2 linked regions of the Mytilus edulis genome follow. The protein of the gene in region 1 binds, or shares a complex with, the protein of each later gene. Links are inferred from orthologs where the notes say so. Each region holds a gene or a part of one and is shown on either strand. Other genes may lie near its edges. The genes, in order: queuine tRNA-ribosyltransferase accessory subunit 2-like and queuine tRNA-ribosyltransferase catalytic subunit 1-like.

Region 1 (12,439 bases):
CATTAATGGCAGATTTTGGTCAAATATGACTATGATGTTATGAGTGACATAACAAATGATGTTTTAGACCAGATTATATTGTCCTAATAATAGAACTAACGTAATATTGAAAAGACTAGGTAATTTTACTACTGATATTTATGCAATTTCAGGGGCCAAATAACAGGCTTTATTATTCTTCAATTAATCATAACTTACCGGTACCTCCACTTACAAAGGTATCATATAGACCTCTCGCTCTTGGTCTGTTCTTCTGAAATGGAACATATAATTAATTGTCATAGGTGATCACATTTGATAAGATATTTCTCCTCACAAGACAGTGACCTTTTGGGATTTAAAAATGAGGCTCGTTTATTGTTTAAAATATTTAAATCAATTTACACGAGATAGGGTGGTGCAATCTGTTTTTATTATGATATCCAGAAAGATTTGAAGGACATTTTATTATTCTTTTTCATTCCAGAACCCACTTTTGACAAGTCCAACCCCTAATGATGCCTTGATGAAACCCTCCTTTTTCAAGTTCCTTTGATTCCCAACTGATTTTATAAACATGTATGGCTCTCACCAATGCCTTTACAGCTATTCTAAGGGTACTGTTTAATCTTTTATATATTTTTTAATTCACTTTTTGTTTTCTGATGTCATAAATCAGATTCATTTTCCTTCTAAAGTTTCTAAACTGTTACTATGTCAACAATAACTTTACTTTTTGTCTTAAGGTACAGACATATTGAGAATGATCTAAATTCAATCATGTTCCTTCTAAACTGTTACTATGCCAACAATTATAAATATAAATCTTTGACCTTATTACCTCCTTTTCTTCCTCATCCTGGTGTGACGATGAGAATGGTTGAAATCCCACAGCTGGAATCTTCTCAGAGTCCTGTAGAAAAAGACAGATACTGTTTTGTTGAAATGACTTGCCACATACAATTCTTTTTTTATGATTTTTTTCGTTTCAAACATTTTTCGTTTTTTTACTCTCAATTTTATACTGTTATGTTACAGTTCAAAATCTGAAAACCAGGAGAAACTTGTCCTCGTCCTGTTTGAATAATTGTACACAAATAATCTGTATAAAGCAAAACCTTTCAATAGTTTGATGTTCATCTATATATTATTACTTTCTAGTTTGCCTTTGTATTTGAACTATTGATTGATTCTTAAAAGAGTAGATGTCATTAGCCCATAATTTACAACCCATCTGTCAATGTAAATAAAACGCCACACTTTCCTCTCTTATTATTCCATAGTTAAAAAGTTTATGTTGAAATTTAAAAATAAATCATTAAGTGCATAAGATCTACCCATGCTCCCAATGTTTGACACTTATCATGAGACAGAAACAGCATGCCTAAGTCATGTTTCAACATCTGACATGTCGGAGTGAGGCAAGACAACTTACCTTTCTCTTTTCAAAGTTCTTTGATCTTTTAAAATTCTGCTTTTCCTGACTTTCTTTTATCTTAATTGCCTTTTAAAAAACAAAATTTCTGTTACAAATATTGCAGTTTTAAAATTTGTGTTAATCATTGTATATCAATATAAATTCAAATCATTGCCCATTGGCATTCTTTATTTTTTTCATTTGTATGTAAATTATATGGTACACATTTCAAAATATATTATTTTTGGCATACTGCATATCTGGACGTTTTTGCATGCCTTATTTTTCATTTAAATACTAATATAAATAATCATATATATCATAGTACTTAATTTTCCTACCCAATTTCAGTATACATATGTAACCACATATATTTACAAATGTACTTAGACCGTACTTTAACTTATAATGGTTTACTTTTACAAATTATGACTTGGATATAGAGTTGTATCATTGGCACTCATACCACATCTTCCTATATGTATTTGTTTCTTAACCCAAACTTCAGAAAATTGTAGTATATGTGAATAATGACCCTGTTACTCAGTGGTCTCCCTTTGAGGCTCTATGTATATCATATTTGTTTTTCATTTACTGTTTTATACATAAATAAGGTCATTTGTTTTCTCGTTTTAATTTATTTACATTTGTCATTTCCCAGTCATTCATAGCTAACTATGCAAATAAGATTTAGCTCATTGTTGAAGGTCCTATTGTGATCGATAGTTGTTATATTGCTTATCATTTGGTCTCTGGTGAAGAGTTGTCTCATTGGAAATCATACCACATCTTCTTATAGATACAGATACAGTGTAACCTGCATTATCCCACAAATTGGGAGACCAGAAAAAAATTGTCAGATAAAGCAGGTTTTTCCTGAAAGGAAAGGCATATTTTTGGACCATAAAAATGTGTCGTTATAGCAGGATGTTTGAATAGTTAGGTGTCGGATTAGGCAGGTAACACTGTATAATAACGTGGTATTCAATTACCAGTGGCGGATCCAGTACTTTTCCTAAGGGGGTCCGCTGACTGACCTAAGGGGGGCCTGCTCCAGTCATGCTTCAGTGATTCCCTATATAATCAACCAAATTTTTCCCACAAAAGGGGGGCCCCAGGGCCCCCTTGGATCCACCTACAATTACCTACCCCTAACTTCAATAATTTTTTAGCTTGTTGTGTGGCATCTCCTGCATTTTCTGGAGGCGCTACAATAAAATCAAAATGACTAAATAATGCTTTAGATTTAATTCATTCATTAAAAAGTGTATTTTAAATTTATCTTGATCATGTTGATCAGGATTATAATTTTCTTCTACTCTATTATACAGAAATTTAATTTTCAGGTGAGCAAATTTTCAAAATATGCCATACATTTCAATTGTTTAATGGCAAGTCATAATACTTCATCTTAACAACATTTCAGAAGCTGACTAAGTTTATGATCTATACACAGTCTTAAAAGTACTGGTATCTCCTTCAGCCAACTTGGCTTAAGTTCATCTCCTTTAAACAGGGCCTTTAATTAATCACAATTTTAATATGATTTGGCTATTATGATACATTTATATGATTGATCGAGAGGGCTTCCAGTAGTGGCTCTCGACATTATGCACCAATTAAATTTTCATTCAATGACACAAATATACAATTTTTGGTTGGATTGTTATCTCTTTGACACATTCCCCATTCCCATTCTCAATTTGAAAATCTATGTATAATAGAGGTTACAAGTGAGGAAATTAAGTTTATTATCTTAAATTTTAAAGAATTATAAGGATTTGACACCAATTTAAAGGAATTTATTGTATGTATAAACTGGGCCAAGTCACTCACAAACATATTATAAAAGTCCTTCCTTTATTTGTTTAAGAGTGAATTGGTTAAGTTTATACACCAATAAATTCCTTTAAAAAGGTGTTTAATACTTTATGACTACATAGTCTTAGTACAATATTCACCAAAAAACATGAACAAATATGGAGATTCTAAAGTTCTTAGATGGATCTAAATTTCAATGATTTTAATCTTCTTCGAAATATATACCTCGTTTTGTTGGCGCATTGATTGGTTGTTCTTTCTCTGGTTTTGGAGTTCTAGCAGCTAATAACGCTTTTTTCTGAAAATAATAAGGGATATACTGATATATCATGATTATATAAAATTGTCTTTGCAAAATGAAATGTTCCTAAATTTTCTTAATAGTTTTTTTGTTGTTGCACATGCACTTAAAATGGCAACTTGATTAACTCTGGTTGATGTTGAAGTAATAAATGCTCTCCTATTAATCATTTAAGACTGGCCTATTACTGTTTTAGACCCAATTGTCAAAACTTGGTTGATTCTGTTCCACCATCTACATGATCTTAGATTATTAGCGGATTCATCTGAAGTTTGCCAATTGAATTTAGACAGCTGCTTCAGTTCCTGTTCATATGGGATTAGTGTGACTCTGTACAAGGCATCATTCTGACTGATTTGATAATTTTCTGTGTGAAAAAATATACCAATTTACAACAGTAACACATCTATATTCTGTACAAAAATTTTTCAAAGACTGCCACATTATTGGACTGTCAAACCATAGGATTGTTGGAGTTAAGGACTGTCAGAATTAAAGGTCTGACACCATTTAAGTGACGGTACATTGAATGACCGAATAACACCATTATAATCCAAATAACACTTGTAATGAACGAATAACACTTGAAATTTTAATATATGCACGTGCATGTACATATTGGTGACTTTTAAACATTGATTATTAAATAATAGTATATTATCGATGTATTTTTTAACTTACAAATGATTTACAGAAAGCAGGTAAGTTTATAAAGATCATTTTGAATAAAGTGTGTACACCCAACATGGCGACCACAGAAATCACAATGGCTGCCATGTTAGATGTACACACAAAATTTAAAATGATCTTTATGAACTTACCTGCTTTCTTTAAATCATTTTATAAGTTATAAAATACATCAATTATATATTACTATTTAATAATCAATGTTTAAAAGTCACCAATATGAGCTACTAATATAACATAGTATTCAAATTTCAAGTGTTATTTGGATATTACAATTGTTCAGCGGATAATAACGGTGTAATTCAGTCATTCTTGTTACTCTTTAAGTGATGGATATGCCAAAGATAGTACATCTGTAAAGCCCAAGTCACACTATACCATGATCGCACCATGCTAACCAAGATCTTATATAAACAAAGATTGTGGTGAGGTTGCATTAGGAAAATGTTAATTTTCGTTATTTCATGATGAAACTACGTCCTCATTATGTTTCTACAACGATCCCACTACAATTATACCACGTTCTCACCACGCTTTTCCTACCATTATCATGATCTTACTACTGTCATCACATTCTCACTTCGACTGTACCAAAAGTTATCTGATTGCAACACGATCTTACCACACTTCTACTGCGATTAAAGCACGTTCTTAACACAATTATACTACATTCATATTGCGATCTTACTACATTCTCAGCAATAACATCAACATCCTGTTCCATATAAATACTTTTCCATTCCTTATATTTCTGATTAAAACGTAGATTTCTCGGAAAAAACACAGTCATGCCACCAAAATCTACCAGAACACATGGGCATGGTGGTAGGAGTAGATGTAGAGGCAGAGGGAGCTCTGATAGTAACTAATCCTGATCTAGCAGAGATGTCGGACCAAGCAATCCAACCTGATTCACAACCTATTGCTGGTCCATCAAGCTCAAATGACAATGTTTTAGGCAGCAACCATTTGATTTTCTGGGGGAGCTATGGTTTTTTTTGGAAAAAAAAGTTTGTTTCCAGTTTTTGGAGAAAAAAATAATTTGTTTTTGATTCTGAGAAAAAAAAAATGTTTGTTTCACCCTCAGCTGCCAGTCTATATGTAATGCTAAAATTGAAAGAAAAAAATTGTTTTCGACTTGTCGCGAAAAAAATAGATTGTTTTTCGCCGCAGGCGATAAAAAAAGGTTGTACAGAAAAAAAAACCATAGCCCCCCCCAGAAAATCAAATGGTTGCTGCCTTAGTGAACAATAGCAGGGATGACACAGATCAAGCATGGTTGAGCCTTTGGAGAAAAACAACAAAAGGTCCAAATTACATATATATAGACAAACAAAACCTGGAGGGCTTTTATGTATTTCATGTGAAAATGACAATGAGCATGATGGTTGTAGTATGAACTTAGTCAGGTTATAAGAAGAGCGTGATGATAATGGCATTGGTGTGCTAGAATTGACTATGGTCTTAAACAGCATGGTGTAAATGTGGTATAGCCATAATGGAAGAGTAGATCGCAGTGAGACTGTGATGGTCATAGTGAGCTTGCAGTAATGTTGCTGTGAGATCGTACATGTAGCGCAGTCTCTCCTAATTGAATCACGCTTTGGCTACGCTCTTGCTAAGATGGTACAGAGACCTTTGCGATCTTACAACTACCTTGCTGCACCCTCACTACACTTCTACTACGACCTGATTTCGCCTCAACAGCACCATGATTGTTTGGAACATGTTCAAAGTTGGCCACGCTCATCACGATCTTGAAGACCTTACCACCACCGTATAACGACCTTACTTAGATCTACAAGATCACACTATGATCGTTAAAATTTGCATTTTTTTTCACAGATCGTGGCCTAGTGTGACTGTGGTATTAGATATTTGCTGGTATTATCGAGGACACATTAAGGAAATGTAAATGACTATAAAAAAAAATCATGAAGAAGATAAATAATAGGAAAAAAGATGATTCATGTATGAAGCCGATTTGGCCTTGGTCGTTTCGGCCAAAAGTGGAAAACTCGAAAAGTTTGTTTGGTCATTTTTTTGTTGTTTTTCCAAGCAAACCATTGCACACGATCTTAAATGTTAACCTTTTTTCTTAATTTTGCATATTTCTGTTTGAGAATTTCTTCTTCTTCTGTCAGTGTTGGTGGAAAAATAATGTGAACCATTCTGTATTCTATATTTCAAAACCGTAAAATTATAATCTATCTATCACAAAATATCAGCTTTCGTTTGTAGAAGGTAAAAAAACATCCAAATGGGAGAATTAAATTCAAAAACATTTATCAGAAAAACTAATGGTTTTAGAAATGTTTAAATGTTTGATAACAATGGGCTTTTTTTAAATTTTCATTAATGAAACCTTTTAGAGAGTATTTATTTTTTGAGATTCATTCTTAGGAATATTTTTGTTGTAGAAATTAAGGGTCCCTTTGGACTCACTAAATACCACAAATGAAAACAAGTAAAATAGTATAGTGAGTACACATGGTACACGTAAAAATAAAGAGAAGCAAACCGTATGAAGAAACTGAATTTTAGATAATTATGTTCCATTCCAAGAATTTACAGCTTTTCTTAGAAAAGTCCTACTCTCGAAACAAAATGTCACACCCACTAACATGAAGGAAACAACTGTCAAAACAGTATACAGTCACATCTGTATCTGTCTGCCTCTCTCTCTTGACATATACTTCTTCTATATTTATAATGCAAACAGTAAGCATACAGCTATTCTGCATTTGTATTTGTCGCTATTGTCAGCTATGTGCAGGGTTGAGAGATATGTCTTCCCAAATTTCCCTCCCCCAGAAAAAAGATCTCGTCCAGGATCCTAAACAATGAGTTTTCAATTCCCAAAGTCAGATAATTGTTTATCAAGAATTCTGTAAAAATCAGATAAGCCCAATACCGAATTTAACAAAAATAAGCTTAAAAAGAGGGACAAAATATACTAGAGGGATAGTCAAACTCATAAATCGAAAAAAAACTGACAACGCCATGGCTAAAAATGAAAAAGAAAAACATACAAACGATAGTTCACATGACAAAACACGTAAAACTAAAGAATAATTAACACAAACCCCACCAAAAACTGGGGGTGATCTCAGGTGCTCAGAAAGGGTAAGCAGATCCTGCTCCACATGTGGCACCCGTCGTGTTGCTCATGTTATAACAGAACCGGTAAATAGTCTAAATTGGTAGGTCACATTCATGAAAGGGAAAGGGATTGTAGTTATGACGTAAGGAACATATCCGATATCATCTGTGAAACAGTTATTCCATAACGGTCAACCAACTCGTGATGGCATCTGTAAAATTTATGAAGCCATTTGAAACTCTTGGTTTAATAGCTTCCTTGTGAGCAGCAACCCTCTATTAAGAAAATCATGATAAGAAAAACAAGCACGGAAATATCGTACCAATTTAGGAGATATGTACCCTGTATGCAGGTGCTGCTGGAATGTTGCTACTTAGAAATGGAAAGTTCACAATTGGAGGGTTGAGTTTGAAATGGTTTTTCTGCCCAGCATTAACGCATTTACACTTTTTAGTATTTAGCTATATATAGCCTCAAAATGACCTTAAATCTACTCTGAATCACCTTTTTGACGTCAAGCAACAATCACTTTTTAAATGTGAAGTCAAATTTTTGAATTATGATGTCAGAGTTTACGGGAACCTGTGTGATTTTACGTAATGGCGTACAAATTTGCATACAAGTGTAAATATGTCTATTGTCCACAGCAATGTTTACTAGAAAATTAGGGTTTTTTTTTAAGTTGATATGATACACATACACGATATGATGACATTCAGTATTGCATCTTTAAATTTATAATATTTTATCATTGTTTTTTTTTATTTTTAGTATTCCCATCTGATTTGAATTACACAACTGTAAGAAAAAATGAAGTTTTCTGTGCAGAATGTGAAGAATGGTTGTCGTTTAGGGCTTATCACTGACCTAGGAAAGAATGGAACCAAAAGTATAGAAACTCCTATGTGTATGTTATATACCAGAGGAGGTAAGTAAATTATGGATATGAAAATAAGTAGAGTTTAAAAAGAAATTGAAGAAATTTGCAGAAACCTATATTGTTTGTGTTTTGTATCATAGAAATGAAAAGTATGTTTTTAGGACAATATTTCTGTTATAAAATAATTATTCCATTTTTGATAACTGATCCTATTTTTATTAATGACTTATAACCTACCACTGAAATAAAATTGTATGCTACACCACACTGTTATACTGTTTAGTTTCCACATTTATAATTCATTGTGTTTTCAATTCTCATTTAATCCTATCCAACAGTTTACATTCATTTCAGTGGCATTTTGTCATATATACCAATTGACATTTACATCGTGTTATATTTTTTCGTCTTTTTTAGGCAATGCTCCTCATTTGACGTTAGACGTCTTAAAGAAGATACAGAGAGTTCCTCCAATGGCTCACATGTATTTAAGTTCTCTGTAAGTAAAATAAAACGAGTAATTATAACTTTTTAAATTTCATTGTATTAGTTGAAATTTTACTTTTTAAAATGCAAAAAGCATTGTTCAGTTTTATGTTATACATTATGATTCAATTTCATAATTTTACAATGAAATTAGATGAACCATGAATCATTTTTTTCCCTTTACAATGGAATAAGCAGAGTTATGTCCCATGATCTATGATGTTCACTTTTTCATTCATGCCCTTAAAGATATTTATTATGGGAAATATGCATGCCTTAATTTGACTAAGTCAACATAAATGTATAAATTCAAGATGTATATTATGTATGGAGTATGACCTTCATTATATCTTTAATATATCCATGTAAATTTATGATGTAATATAAATGGATTGTTTTACCTGAGGGCTGTATAGTCAGTCAATGTTGTTAAAAACTCCCACCATCATCATCATGAATTGTTAATGTTTTTTTCTTCCAGGGCAGAACATAGTGAAGCTGTCACACAGTTTAAGGAAGGAATAGCTAATTTCTGTGGCATGCAGGTAAATATGGCTTCAGCTTTTAGTTCTACACCAAAAAATATTGGTCTTTTTAAATGTGAGTTCTACACAGGTAAAATAGCTATGTCCGTTAAAAATCAGTAATATGTCTGTATTATATGGAAGACTTACTGACAAATAGTACCTCAGACTTACAATGTCTGTTGCTTATAACGCGTAATACATCTATATCAACTCGTAAAACATATTAGCATAGGCACATCTAATTTCCATGGCAATTGTTTAGCCCTGTACCTTCAGTCATGGTTCATTGACTTTAAATCTTTGCATAACTTATATGTTAAAGTATTGCTATTCTTATTTCAATATTTGTATTATCAAAATAACACAAATAGGCGAGACATATATCTGTGTTTAAAGTTTATATCAATATCTACATAACCTTTAATGACAGGATATATTCCATTGATAAAAAATGCCAAACAACAGATTGCAAAACCGTGGAGTAAAAATCTGTACAGGTTTTATAAACTTGATTTTAGATTCTTTCAGCAACACATCCATTTATTTTTATTAATGGGCCCATGTTTGAAGATAATATAGGAGAAATATTTTGTTTCTGTAATTACATGAGTTATACATATGTTGAAATTTTAGTAATTTTAGGAAGTGTATGTGTATTTAAAGAAAATGTAAAACAAAGTTTATAATTTTTTTAAAGGATTTTGCAGTTTACTGTTCCTTACATGACCCAGCTACAGAGGTACCTTCGGGATACAATGAAAAATCAGGGACAGCAATCTGGACAAAGGGAGGGAAGTATAAGGTATAGCCTTTTCACCTTTATAGATACTTTGTATGTTCTTTTCTTATATATTTGATGCGTTTCCCTCAGTTTAAGTTTGTAACCCGTTTTTTTTTTTTCTCAATCGATTTATTAATTTTAAACAGCAATATACTACTGTTGCCTTTATTTATAAGCTGACTATTATTTGCAAAAAGTTTAAAAGAGCTGAAAAATTATTTGGTGTTATTTTCAAATAGAAATAAAGAAGATGTAGTTTGAGTGCCAATGAGACAACTCGGCATCCAAGTCACAACGTGTAAAAAGTAAATGTTTACTTCTAAAATTATTTTGGTTTGTTGCTGGTTTACCAGACAGAAAATTAAAATAGTGTATTTATAACAAAATAAGGCTAATGACCTAGTTTGAAATGTTATAAATTTAATTCTGCATTAAAGAATCATCTTGTTACTAGGATTATTAGGAAAGAAAGCAGGTGGGTCATTTACATAAAAAAGATATTAACCTAGCAACACACAAAAACAATGGAAACAAAATTTCTTAACCCAACAACACAAAAACAATGGAAACTGTAAATTCGGAAACTATTGCGTGTATTTATTATTGTGAATTTGTAATTTTAGACTAAAATGCGATTTTAATTGTTGCGATATTGAGCAAAATCCTGTTTTAATTCTTATAAAAAATTTCAAAATGCATTTTTAAATTATTGAGATTATAACCCTGTCACACTTTTCGCAATAATAAAAACATCACAATAATTTCTGAATTTACAGTAAATATAGACTCATTAATTTGGATTAGAAAATATGAATTTATACAATTATTTCATGGATAGGATAATCTTAGAATTTTATAGCCCTTCCTGTTCCTGGTAATTATTTTCTATTCACAAAATATAAGACTCTATTCATAAAAATGAGAATGGAAATGAGGAATGTGTCAAAGAGACAGCAACCCAACCAAAGAGCAGAAAATAGCCAAAGGCCACCAATAAGTCTTCAACACAGCGACAAAATCTCGCACCTGGAGGCAGCCTTCAGCTGGCTCCTAAACAAAAATGTGTTCAGTGAAAATGGAGTCACACTAAACTCTGAAACATATAAATGAACTAAAATTTTAAAAACATGCAAGACTAAAAAAGACTAGACGGCAGAGGTTTCTGACTTGGGACAGACACATAAATGTAATGAGGTTTAACATAGTTTATGAGATCTCAACCCTTATTAGAACAATGAGACATAGAAAGTACTGATGTATCAGATGAAAGAACCTTTACATGTATTATTATTTTTTAAAACTTTTTTATTTGAAAGTTAGATGTCATCCACTTTATGCAAATCCAGGAAGCTTTTCAACCTGATATCTGTGAAGCATTGTATGACGGGGATACAAATAAAGATTCTACTCGCAAACGATTACTGAAAGCAATGGATAGAACTTTGAACTATCTTGATGAAATTCAGGATAAATGGAAAAGTTCTCAGGTTTGTATGTCTCTTAAAGTCTTTTAGAGTAACTGTCTTGCCACTAGGTATTTACTTGTACCTTCTGTTTACTTGACACCTACATTTTTTGTCACACTTTGCATACTTTCTCTTTGCAGTGGGTGAGGGGAATTAATCGAGTGTGTTCATTATTTTAAAGAATATTATTTTAGAAACAATGAACTATAGTTGTTAATTTCTGTGTCATTTTGGTCTCTTGTGGTCGTTGTGGAGAGTTGTCTCATAGGCAATCATACCACATCTTCTTTTTAATTTAGCTTTTATTAATACAATTTTTTGTTGACTTATGATACAGAAGTTACAGAAGACAGCACTGTTTGGAGTTATAGAAGGAGGATTTAGCATACAAGAAAGACAGAAGTCTGCACATGAAACTGTTACTAGAAATGTAGATGGTGAGCTTGTCTTAGTTTACTTGTAACTTCTACTCTAAAAGTGATAAAGATATTAGAAAGAAAAAAAAACAGTTGTAAACAAAAAAGCATTTGTATGCCAAAAAAAAAAACATCATTAGAATTGGTTTTCGAATAAAAAAACTTACTCTACAATTTAGATCCTTATCTCAACCAGAATCTGACCAGTTGGAAATTAATCTTCAGTGCTAAAAATTTCTGACATATATATTGCTTAATGTTGGTAAATGTCTATGGTAATTAGTTACAAAATATTTTTGTTCTGTTATTTAATATCTGTATAAGTGCTGAGCAAATTTCTTGTAATTTCCTCTCTGTGTTAATATATAAATCTGAGGCTTGCACTGAAGCAGACAATGTGTGTGTGAACTCTGGTAATATTAAGGAAGTGTCAACTGTTGTTTCATTTGAGCAATACTGATATACTTATTAAGTTGCCTAGCTTAAATTCATATTTAACTGACCAGTTGCAGAAAAACGTTTATCTACTGGCATGAGTTAAGGATTGATTGAGGTTTGCATGTCATGATGACTTG
Region 2 (12,331 bases), about 50 Mb from region 1:
ATCAAGTTGCATAATTATATCAGCTCCTGTAAAAAAAGGCTTTAAATGTAAAAAAAAATATTTAAAAATCATTAATTCCAATTACAATTATATCCTAAAGCTTCTATGTCAGATTAAAAAACAAGGTTAAATGTATTAAGATGAAGAGAAATATTTAAAAACAGTGGCAAAATGAGAAAGATGTGCTCAAAGGGAGGTAAGTTAACTATAAAATTTGACAGTAATTTTATATTAAGAATAGTGGAAATTTCATTATTTGAAAATTTAGGAAGATTACCTTTATCCATCCTCAAAGAATATAGGGCATATTAAGATTAACATGCATCAGTGAAAAAACTATGTGAATTAAGTTTTTTATCCTACATTGAACTTATGATGGTGTCCCTAAGTCAAAACATGTTTAGACTTTCACATGTCCAAATTGGTTTAATGCCAGAGTTACCTTTCTTTTTCATTCACATAAATGTCTAAAACAAGTTGATAGCAGTCAAACTTCATACATAATTGTTGCAACGTTTACTGATTATAAGAATGATAATACTGATTAGAATCAATCATATTTATATGAACAGAAATAAACTACAACCTATAGAGTTTTGTATTTCAATGGACTTCTCAGGAGTGAGCATCATTTCAGATCCATCATGGGGAGATTGAAATTTAACTCCCTCTTCTGTAATCTCAGCTAATTTTAGTAAGGAAACCATTTGGAATCCACCACTGTCCTGTAAAAAGAAGGAAAACTCTTATTGAATAATGACAAGTTGGAAGAATAAGGAAAAAAATCATTTGCAGATCACAAAAAAAATAATATAAATGGTCATTACAGATACATTTAACTACAACTGACATTATTTGAAGTTATTGAATAAAAGACAATTTTGAAAGTAGAAGAAATCTTCAAAAGCTATTGACTACCAATATTGACTATACATTGCAATATAAAGATACATGTATCAAAACAGAGAAAAATCAAGCACCACTCTTTTTATTTATGTGTTGTCATCAACATCTTAAACCTGCTAAATACTGAAAGTTTAAAAGCCTACAGATGAACTGTTCTATGCAACCACAACTAACATACACATTAAAAGAGTTTGAACTAAATCCTATACAAATTTAACTTGTGCATTTTTCTTTCTTCATGTACACGATGTATATCATTCCACAACATTTAATAAATGCCAGTGATAAACCAAAACATGTTTCAAGTATGATAATTATATTGTTCTATTTTTAAGTTTTATTCAGTAAGTGCATGTTTTATATTAGGAAGCTATCTTCCAGCCATAATCAACATGATCAAGACAAGAACATATCAATGTTATATGAATATGAACATTCTTTGTACATAAGGCACACTTTGTTCCAGATTTTTGAAGTTCTGAATCACCATGTAACACTACATATATAACAGTTGACAAGAACATGTGTCATCTCATATAAACACATGACCAGTGCTTAGAAAAGTAGTAGCAATTAAAAATTTAACCATGTTAACAGTTAGATGTTTGATATAACAATGGAATAGACCAATCTCTGGCATGCTAACATCAAAGCATTCAAAGTATCATGGGATTTTAAACATGAATCATAATAATATGTATTACATATAGCTTACTGTCAGTAAAGATCTGTTCCAATTCATAAATTTATGAAGACCTCCAGCTTTTTCTAATAGTTCTGGACCCTGAAATAAAAATCAGTCTTTAACTTGTTAAAAGGAAAATATAATTTTGTAAGAAAAGTGTTACATACTGGTGAATTAACTGTGAATTATAAATATTTTCATGAAAGAAATGCATTCTAACTTCCACATTTTTCTTATCAATTTTTTTTTTCCAAGTCTCTCAACAAATGAACAAATGTAAATGCCTGGTTCTGTGCCTTATGTCAAAATTATTAGAAAATTATTTGAAAAGTAACACTGATCTGCTTACCACATTTAATACACAAACCAAATACAGTAACTTGAAGCAATGGTAAGGCCAAATAAAATAGAATGTGTGGTTCCAGTTACATCAACTTAATTTTGAAATCTTGGGGCATGCTTTGATTATTAGCATTGTGTATGAGATTCATAAAATTTGGATAGGTGAGGGCAAACTTTGGGGTGGTTGCTGAAACAAACAAAAAAATGCAATTTTTGGTTTAATAAAGGGCATTACTCTAACACACAAAATGACTCACTACCCCAATTTCTGTCTGCTTTTATCATGATTGTAGGTTCTTAGCATTATCATAATTACATGTATGTACAAGTTTCATAACATTTAGATAAGCCTGATGAGTAAAACGTACATTTTTTTAAGTCATAATGCTGAAACAGAAAAATTGCAATTGTCCCTGCATTAAAAAGGGGCATACCAATAGAATAGTAGGTTAATCACTACCTAAATTAGAACTCAATCTGCATAAGAGGTCCCAAGTTCCAAACCTTCGTCTTGCTGTCATATTTGGAAGGCTAATCATGCTGTTCACTGACAAATACATAAACTCAAACATGCTTACAGGGATAAGGGCTTCACAGTCTTTATTTTTGTGTATAATTTGTTTTGTAGGACTTGTCCCCTCTTTCATAATTTAAGGATGTACTTAGGCGAGGTTTTGGAATATGTGTCAAATGTTCGGATTCCTTGGTGTTTTTCCATACAATACAATGTAAAATATTTTGCCCCATAACACCCATTTATTTTTTCATATAAGACTTAATAGCTCATGAAAGGTCATTTACCAAAATTTTAGAAGATTCTTAATTTTCTTTCTTTTGTTTTGAGACCTAATAATACCAATGCAAATATAAGGTAAAAGTCAGAGTCAGCCTTTTCCCGCCATATTTTAAATCTCAAAGATGTCGAAAATGAGGTCCATGACCTATCAATATTTTTAGCTTATTTTTATCCTTAAAGGGAAACTTCGCAAAAAAATCAAAAATTGATATTATGTTTATTCTGTATAAAAATGCTCAAATTCATAGATATTAAAGTTTTATTCTGCTAGATAAGAGATCACCATCGATTTTAAATTTAGAGTATCAATTTTCTGAGGTCAGCCATTTTGTCACCTTCTCCGATTTGCAGTCACGATATGTCTAAGGACCAAAACCACAGTAACCCGATGTAGTCGTAATTGTGTGTCGATATCTCGTCAATCGTACAGTTGTTTTATCCGACTAGTTAACTAGTTAACTAACTTGATACGGAAAATGTTCTTCTTTTTTTTTTAAATAACCATGATCTGTTATTTTTAGACTGATAATATAGGAATTTAATAGTGAAAAAGTCAAAATTTCAAATCATAAATAAGTCTTCCGTGAAACTTGAATTGTTTTCGGAAATCTAATTAGTTCATAATTCTTTTAAGTAATAAACTTTATTCAAATAAATTAGGATCTTCGCTCCACTGATCACCCGCATGGCTAAAGGTATTACTCCCAAAGATATTGTAGGGGGTGTGAGGTGACACGTCCAGGTATTTAAGCGATTTCCTGTCGAGTTTGCAAATTCATGCATCGTTTCACTTCATAGTGTATTGATAAGTGTACACGGCCGATAACTTATAACTTTCCATTTTGAACTATTAGGTGTATAATATACATCTCTATCTTGCGTGTCCGAAAGTGATATTACTAAACTCATACGCTTGTTTATGAATAACATTTCTGGTGAAAAGAAAATTATTTATAAAAATATAAATAATACCAAAAAAAAAAAAAACAGATTTGATGAAATAAAAATCTATATACGTATTTTTTCCAAGGGTAAATTTGGTAAAATGTAATATATCTCGAAAAAAGGAAGAAATTCGCCATCATCACAATTGTTCCGACATGCATGTAATATATACGCAACTGGAAGTACACTAATACCGAGGGATGTGAATATTTTCCAGGAAAACTATAGAGTATCAAAGTTTCAAATCAATTTGGGGATTTATTTTCTCTCTTGATATTCAATGACAGCAATTTAAAGAATAAACTGCTTGTCCGTTTTAGTGGTATTCTTGCCAGTTGAAACAGACTTATAATTACATTAAAAAATTGGGAAAGATGACATTTAATTCGTTCATTTTTTTTTTAATACATCGTTGGTCAAATAGCTAAAGTATTATATATAGTTACGGTGTGAGACAAAGAGTATTTTAAGAAGGACATTCCCGATTATGTATAAATTTTGTTGATGTTTTTCACACTTGAAAAGCATATCTGTTCGTAATTTGTTTATTCCATTCCAATTAGATCCTTTAATTTCCTGTCAATTTTTTAAAACATCTTTTTTCAAATATCTGAAGTATTCATGTGTTGCGAGATTTAAAATATTTTGATGAGCAGTTTAATTCCTAAATAGGTAATTAAAGATCACTATGGATGGACTAAATTATATAATTACAATTGTTAATGATCTGTTTGAAATATTTAAGGCTGCCGTTCCTAATTTGAAAAAGTACAATTTTTAGTTCATAAACTCGTGTTTAGAAGGCTATTTTTTTTATTTATAAATTCTTCAATTAAAATAATTCAGTATTTTATCGTTACTAAAGTAATCAAAAGTCATAATTCATTAAAAGTGATCTTATGCAAAATATAAAAATATACAACAGCTATCCAGTTATTGTGCAATCTTATTATTCCCGTTAATTAATTTTAATTATTTTTTTTTACATTCATGTGTCTGAAACTTTGTCCGACTCCCGTTTACAATTGATACGAAATGTTGTTCACACCTGAAATGCCAGTGAACCGTGACGCCTAGATTTCACTGAATGAGGATCAAAAGATTAGAATTACATAATGCTAATCTTTTAATTACCTTGAGTTAAACTACGCATTCCACATTCTTTAGGTGTCACAAAACAATACACATTTTATTGTTTCCACCCGTACAAGCAAGTGAAAATGATTGCTGGAATGAAGCACAATGGTCAGAATACAAACATGTATTTTTAATACACTATCGATCATGTCAGTTTCGTATGTTTGTTTAAAGTATTTTTAGAAAAAAAATCATAAAAATGTTCTATTGTATGATTTACTTTTATTATTAAAATTCGTTTTAAAAAATCCACACGATCTTATTTTAAAAGTTGCATGGCTATCACTTATTTTTCGTTGGTTAATAGCTACACCAAAAGTCGTCGATGCGCTTTAAATCGCGTTATTAGATGGTTAACGAACAAGACTTAAATGAGATATTTTCACTCCCGGCATGCATCAAAGACTTAACTACGTCACATAAGTCAGGAAGTTTCAAAAAATAAAATTAATAATTCCCAATTTTCTTCTTTATTAGATTTCATATCAAAATAAAACTTGGTGAATATGTTTTTTATGGTATTATGAACATAATAAGATGAAAAGTGAAAAATCGCGAATTATCCCTTTAATTGATGCTCTACCAGCTTATAGAATCAATTTTAACTTCTTGATTTATTAATTTTCACCTAACCTCACCTAAGTACATCCTTAATGTCTTTCATGTCTTTATTATCCCTCATGTTTAAACTCTTTAAATGATCAATCACTATTCAAGATATTGATTGGTTTCAAATTAATGTTGTATCATTCAACATAGTAAACATCTTACAGGTCTATTACCAAGATGGTAAGTATTTCCTAACATGATTTTACAGTCTAGCTCCTCTAATTGTTCAGGTAACAGACCCTTCAGCGTTCCTTGTGTACCAACTGGCATAAAAACAGGAGTTTCTACAATAGAATGGGGAAGTGTCATATGACATGCTCGGGCTTTTGTTGTTGAACATTCTGCTAAGATTTTCAGTGAGAGTGCATGTGCTTTGGAAGTCATGTTTGTTTCTAATTTTATTCAAACCAATCAAAATTCATTTCTCAATCAAACCCTACTTTCGTTTTGCTTTTAACCAATCAATTGCATTCTTTTGGCGATTAGTCGGTTGGCTGCTGCTTGCGTTGCAATCGATTTCCGGTCAATATGGCAGATGTCAACACTGGAAATTTGGCACCTGATGTCTTAGAAAGTAGCACACAAACCATACAATGGAAGTCTATATCGTTAACTCATGTGGAATATCCTAAAGGTCTAGTTATGAGCTAATGTCAGTAATGAAAAACAGCACCACCGCGTTTAAAATGAATATAGGCCCATAAATTAACAATATTGATTGATACATTAATGCCTACATTATCCCAAATTGAAGATAATCATATCATTATTTACAAAATTTCGAAGTCCAATGAGAAAGTTGGTACTTGTAACATTAACATGCCTAAGAATATTGCATTGAAAAACATTCAATTTGTTCTGAGGTCCAGGTCTGACTGTACATCATAGGGGTTTGTTACAAAAAATCATTTTGCGGGTTTACTATCCATACAAACCCCGAAAAAATCACAAGGGAGGAAGCTCATTTGCCACAATGCTTCAAATTATTGTTTAAAATTTTTTTTTAAGACTTTCACTTACATTGTGATCTGAATAAATCTCTTCCCACTTGAATTACATGTATATCTTCAATGACATATATTTATTCCCTTAAGTAACCTCTATAACTATTGTAATCCTTAAAACAAACTCAACATTTCTGGAATAGAATGAATCAAGGACCTACATTTGAAAATGAAAGTCCTAAAGCTACACCTACAGGAAAATATATTTTCCGCACTCTCTGGAGTTTACGATAGTTGTCACGTTTTTTGGAAGTCCACTGTATTTTAGGTTTCAATAATGTCAAAATGACGGGAGTTATTAGGTACACACTGTGTTTCTTTGTCATATTATGGTAAACTCCAGAGAGTGCCGAAAATATATTTTCCGGTAGATTTTGCTATAGTACTTTCATTTTCAAATGTAGGTCCTCGATTCATTCTATTCCAGAAATGTTCTTCGTACGGATAGTAAACACTGTCACAGCAAATTGTAACAAACCCCTTTGGGTACATCTTATCACTATTTGAAAATCTGTTTCGCTTGACCCTTAGAATCTGTGCCAGTTGAACTTTTGACGTCATTTAACAACCACTTTTCCATTGTGTCTGCTGATATTTTCTACTGTCATGACTGTAATGTCAAAATTTTTCGCGAACCTAAAAGCGGTGTCCAGTGATGGCGGACAAATTGCAATAAGGTGAATAGTGCTGGAGCGGTGTTTAGCCAAGAAATTGTTAAGGCACCAAAAATTGAAGCATGTAAACCTTTTTAGCTCACCTGGCCCAAAGGGCCAAGTGAGCTTTTCTCATCACTTGGCGTCCGTCGTCCGTCGTCCGTCGTCGTCGTCGTCGTTAGCTTTTACAAAAATCTTCTCCTCTGAAACTACTGGGCCAATTTTTACCAAACTTGGCCAAAATCATCATTGGGGTATCTAGTTTAAAAATTGTGTCCGGTGACCCGGCCAACCAACCAAGATGGCCGCCATGGCTAAAAATAGAACATAGGGGTAAAATGCAGTTTTTGGCTTATAACTCAAAAACCAAAGCATTTAGAGCAAATCTGACATGGGGTAAAATTGTTAATCAGGTCAAGATCTATCTGCCCTGAAATTTTGAAATGAATCGGACAACCCGTTGATAAGTTGCTGCCCCTGAATTGGTCATTTTAAGGAAATTTTGCCGTTTTTGGTTATTATCTTGAATATTATTATAGATAGAGATAAACTGTAAACAGCAAAAATGTTCAGTAAAGTAAGATCTACAAATAAGTCAACAGGACCAAAATGGTCTGTTGACCCCTTTAGGAGTTATTGCCCTTTACAGTCAATTTTTAACCATTTTTCGTAAATCTTAGTCATCTTTTACAAAAATCTTCTCCTCTGAAACTACTGGGCCAAATTAAACCAAACTTGACCATAATCATCATTTGGGTATCTAGTTAAAAAATTGTGTCCGGTGACCTGGCCAACCAACCAAGATGGCCGCCATGGCTAAAAAAAGAACATAGGGGTAAAATGCAGTTTTTGGCTTATCACTCAAAAACCAAAGCATTTAGAGCAAATCTGACATGAGGTAAAATTGTTTATCAGGTCAAGATCTATCTGCCCTGAAATTTTGAGATGAATTGGACAACCCGTTGATAGGTTGCTGCCCTGAATTGGTAATTTTAAGGACATTTTGCTGTTTTTGGTTATTATCTTGAATATTATTATAGATAGAGATAAACTGTAAACAGCAAAAATGTTCAGCAAAGTAAGATCTACAAATAAGTCACCAAGACCAAAATGGTCTGTTGATTTCTTTAGGAGTTATTGCCCTTTATAGTCAATTTTTAACCATTTTTCGTAAATCTTAGTTATCTTTTACAAAAATCTTCTTCTCTGAAACTACTGGGCCAAATTAAACCAAACTTGGCCACAATCATCATTGGGGTATATTGTTTAAAAATTGTGTCCTGTGACCTGGCCAACCAACCAAGATAGCCGCCATGGCTAAAAATAGAACATAGGGGTGAAATGTAGATTTTGGCTTATAACTCTGAAACCGCAGCCTTTAGAGCAAATCTGACATCGGGGTAAAATTGTTTATCAGGTCAAGATCTATCTGCCCTGAAATTTTCAGATGAATCTGACAACATGTTGTTGGGTTGCTGCCCCTGAATTGGTAATTTTAAGGAAATTTTGCTGTTTTTGGTTATTATCTTGAATATTATTATAGATAGAGATAAACTGTAAACATCAATAATGTTAAGCAAAGTAAGATTTACAAATAAGTCAACATGACTGAAATGATCAATTTTCCCCCTTAGAAGTTATTGTCCTTTATAGTCAATTTTTAACAATTTTCATAAAATTTGTAAATTTTAACTAACATTTTCCACTGAAACTACTGGGCCAAGTTCATTATAGATAGAGATAATTGTAAGTAGCAAGAATAGAGATAATTGTAAGTAGCAAGAATGTTCAGTAAAGTAAGATGTACAAACACATCACCATCACCAAAACACAATTTTGTCATGAATCCATCTGCTTCCTTTGTTTAATATTCACATAGACCAAGGTGAGCGACACAGGCTCTTTAGAGCCTCTAGTTCTTCTTTTTAAATGACAAAGAATTTAACAAATCTTTAATTCTAAGAAAGAAATTTTACAGTCTAGTAGATCAGGGGTCACCACACCAGGCGAAGTGAGCGACAAAGTCGCTCTAGGTCTCCCCACTTCGCTCTAGAGAAGCTCCAGGGAGAAGTTTATGTCGCCCTCGATTTTCAGTAAAATTCCCCAATGTCGCCTCATGGTTTTTGAGAAATTCTCGATTCAAACGTAAACGACTGATAGGTATTGAAATACAAAGCATGTTTTCCTCAAATTCAGAACTGATTTCTCCGCGATAGTATCATACTTCAACATAAAAATTGCTTGCCCGGGTGTACTATAAGCAAGAAAAAAGAAAAATCTCGATTTTTTTATGATTGTTAATTGTCCGCCATCTTTGTTATTGAAAATTGTAGATGGCGCCATTTCATCTTTTCAACTCTCATCGTTTACCTAATCCATATTGATATGCACTATTAATTTTGATTTTCTTATATTTACTGACAATATGTGATGTCCCATAAAAATTTTTAGATTTCTTTTCAAAAACGGAATATTATCAACTGGTATCTGCTTGTATTTTTACTACGTACGTAGTTTAGTACACTGCCGGGAACCAGCACAACGATTATAAACTATAACGCAGTCGTTTTTTTTGTTCAGGATTTTGTTTAACAGACTGATACATGTGCTTTGTTTCAGCTAAAGGTCCTTAAACAGTATTTCAATGAATATCTGCTCATGAATTTGATTAGGAACGGCAATATTTACTTCCAAAGTCGTATATTTTGAAAAATATAAAGTAAGAATTTTTGACGCGGATCGCACCGTATTTGTTTTTAATTTACAAGTACCAATTCAATTCGGGTTATGAAAAATACGACTTTTCCGATGTTACTTTTTGTGATTTAGTCATATTAAACACTCGTGAAGTGTTTTAGAATCAATTACATACATTTCTAACGGCAACTTGATTTTGGAAATCGGCATTTCCATGAAAATATCGCAAACATGTGCGATTACATATACACGATTTGAAATAAACAGTTTTACTTTACGTTTTCAACACATGTCAAACAGTTTTCTCTCTGAATTCTAATAACATATTATTTTAAGAACAAATACATTTTTGAATCATGATCTTAGCTATGAAAGACATTGAAACCATATTTTAACTTTTCTCAATTGATTATTATTTTTGTTTTAAAAGGTTCTTGGACTTAGTTTAATTTTAAAGTCTTTGAAATGCAGCATAATTTGATCCATGTCAAATCTTCAATTCATTTAGACCTACCAGAATAAACATACATGTAGCTCTTATGCCATTAACTTATGGTCCTTATGTCATGATATTTTGTGACAATTTGCATAGGTACACATGTAAATAAAAAAGTATTTCAGACTACAAGCATGGCAAGACAAGGACTTACAAAATGTACTTCCTTAGCAATTGTCAATCACAAATGATTAGAAAAGTAGCAAAAAGGTATAGATTCTTAGAAAATTTTATTCATAAAAAGTATAAACGCGATCTGTTGATTTTCCCTGAAGGCTCCCTGTTGGGCCTTCACTTCTCCCTGAAGTCTCCCTGTTGGGTCTTCACTTCTCCCTGTTTGGCTGCCAGGGAGAAGTGACTTCTCCCTATAATTTTGAAGTGTGGTGACCCCTGGTAGATATCCCAAACTATCTTACATTTCATAATTGAATTATGAAAATTAACACGCTGAGGGATCAAGTATTAAGTGACTGGTCAATTTTACATGATTAAGGCACTGCAGGATAAAAAATATATATCTCAAGGGCACTGCTGGACTGTGTTATATCATTTGTATATTGGCCTGGTGAGAACACTACAGAGAAGTATAAATTCTACCCTTCAACTGTACATGTACACCTTATTGCTGTTTGTCAGTCATTCCTGGACATGACAGCCATTCTCATAAAACTTTTGATGTTGTAAGAAAAAAAAAATTGTCTGTCACCACAAAAGAAAAATGGCTGTTGCATACATCATGTACATTTGTTATGTCAGTAATTCAAGAGTGAAGTTCTGGGGTCAATGGTCACAAATTCTTTATAAGTGATACAAGTCTACTGAATAATACTTATCTCGAACACCTATGGCCATACCTTTAAATGCTAAAAAATGTCTAAAAACTTCAACCTGTTGTACATGTACTGTACTGTAAACAAGACCAGTCCTTGAATATCAACTCTTTTACAGGTTAAATGGTTAATGAGTCAAAGGATTGTCTAGTAATCGCTTCTAGGTTCAAATGCTCAATTTGACAACACTAGTTAACTTATGAACAAAAAACATGTACTGAAGCCAAATAAAGTGTGCGTCATGCAAAGAATTTGACGTTTATCATGTTTTCATGTATATTACAAAAAGATTGGGGATGGAACAACTTTATTTATCATTTATATCACCGAACACAAATTCAAAAACATTCATTTAAAAATTTACTGAAAAATAAGGTTCAAGGGACTGAATTGAAAAACTTTAAAAAAATATAAATCAAATTGTAATGTTTGCTCCGAATACAGAATTAAGTGCCTTTCAACTTTGACTTTTACTTTCCTTACAGCTTTACTAAACATGGAAAACTTTTTCAAGTATTTACTTGACATGCAAATGACATGATAATTTACTTACAAAATGTACTCAATGTAAATAAATCATGAATGCAATATTTTTTTGTACCGTAATTAAAACCTTTTCATATTTCTGTTCCAGGAGATTTGATTGGATATGTTTTAGCATGGTTTAGTCTGGTTCCAATTTTTGTATGTGTTGGATTTGCTGCTCTCATTATTTTTAGACGTGATTTACACACGGTAAGTACATGAATTGTGTACATACACAACAGCCCTAGGCCCCTAGTGGATTTGCTTTTTCCACCTGCCCACAGAGGACAGCCTACCTGTGCCCACTCTGGCTATATTCTCTCTTTTTTATGCCCCACCTACGATAGTAGAGGGGCATTATATTTTCTGGTCTGTGCCTCCGTTCGTCCATTCATTCGTCCGTTCATTCGTCCCGCTTCAGGTTAAAGTTTTTGGTCAAGGTAGTTTTTGATGAAGTTGAAGTCCAATCAATTTGAAACTTAGTACACATGTTCCCTATGATATGATCTTTCTAATTTTAATGTCAAATTAAAGTATTGACCCCAATTTCATGGTCCACTGAACAAAGAAGAAGATAGTGTGAAGCTCAGGTTAAAGTTTTTGGTCAAGGTAGTTTTTGATGAAGTTGAAGTCCAATCAACTTGAAACTTAGTACACATGTTAACTATGATATGATCTTTCTAATTTTAATGCCAAATTAAAGTAT

Evidence for each region.
Region 2: the proteins of queuine tRNA-ribosyltransferase accessory subunit 2-like (region 1) and queuine tRNA-ribosyltransferase catalytic subunit 1-like are in contact, whole or in part, in a crystal structure (PDB 7OVS), measured with the Mus musculus proteins. The link is inferred for Mytilus edulis from reciprocal best matches to the Homo sapiens genes QTRT2 and QTRT1. Residues at the interface, in NP_001343258.1 of Mus musculus: Arg39, Thr40, Gly41, Ser42, Ala43, Pro44, His45, Leu46, Thr47, His48, Gln49, Thr50, Asn53, Glu70, His71, Glu73, Val74, Glu77, Tyr78, Phe85, Ile86, Gly87, Phe119, Gln342, Glu343, Phe345, Tyr355, Asn359, His360, Ala363; in NP_068688.2 of Mus musculus: Thr50, Thr53, Met54, Lys55, Gly56, Ile57, Thr58, Thr59, Glu60, Gln61, Ser64, Arg80, Pro81, Leu85, Lys88, Ala89, Phe95, Met96, Asn97, Ala307, Lys308, Phe310, Pro320, Thr324, His325, Ala328, Phe329, Ala332, Leu333, His335.

The regions. Positions count from the first base shown.
Region 1 is NC_092345.1:2,449,891-2,462,329, reverse strand, and holds the start of queuine tRNA-ribosyltransferase accessory subunit 2-like, read left to right. Parts: upstream 1-6,602; 5' UTR 6,603-6,685; exon of another isoform or gene 6,686-6,793; intron 6,794-8,027; exon of another isoform or gene 8,028-8,079; 5' UTR 8,080-8,118; coding exon 8,119-8,236; intron 8,237-8,605; coding exon 8,606-8,687; intron 8,688-9,155; coding exon 9,156-9,219; intron 9,220-9,898; coding exon 9,899-10,003; intron 10,004-11,298; coding exon 11,299-11,469; intron 11,470-11,785; coding exon 11,786-11,885; intron 11,886-12,439. Other genes in the region: negative elongation factor E-like, read right to left, coding at 199-253, 821-892, 1,415-1,483, 2,546-2,604, 3,443-3,515, 6,296-6,376. UniProt on the Homo sapiens protein: Non-catalytic subunit of the queuine tRNA-ribosyltransferase (TGT) that catalyzes the base-exchange of a guanine (G) residue with queuine (Q) at position 34 (anticodon wobble position) in tRNAs with GU(N) anticodons (tRNA-Asp, -Asn, -His and -Tyr), resulting in the hypermodified nucleoside queuosine (7-(((4,5-cis-dihydroxy-2-cyclopenten-1-yl)amino)methyl)-7-deazaguanosine).
Region 2 is NC_092345.1:52,172,971-52,185,301, reverse strand, and holds the start of queuine tRNA-ribosyltransferase catalytic subunit 1-like, read right to left. Parts: upstream 5,836-12,331; 5' UTR 5,805-5,835; coding exon 5,583-5,804; intron 1,691-5,582; coding exon 1,622-1,690; intron 726-1,621; coding exon 587-725; intron 27-586; coding exon 1-26. Other genes in the region: dolichyldiphosphatase 1-like, read left to right, coding at 5,949-6,054, 11,735-11,835.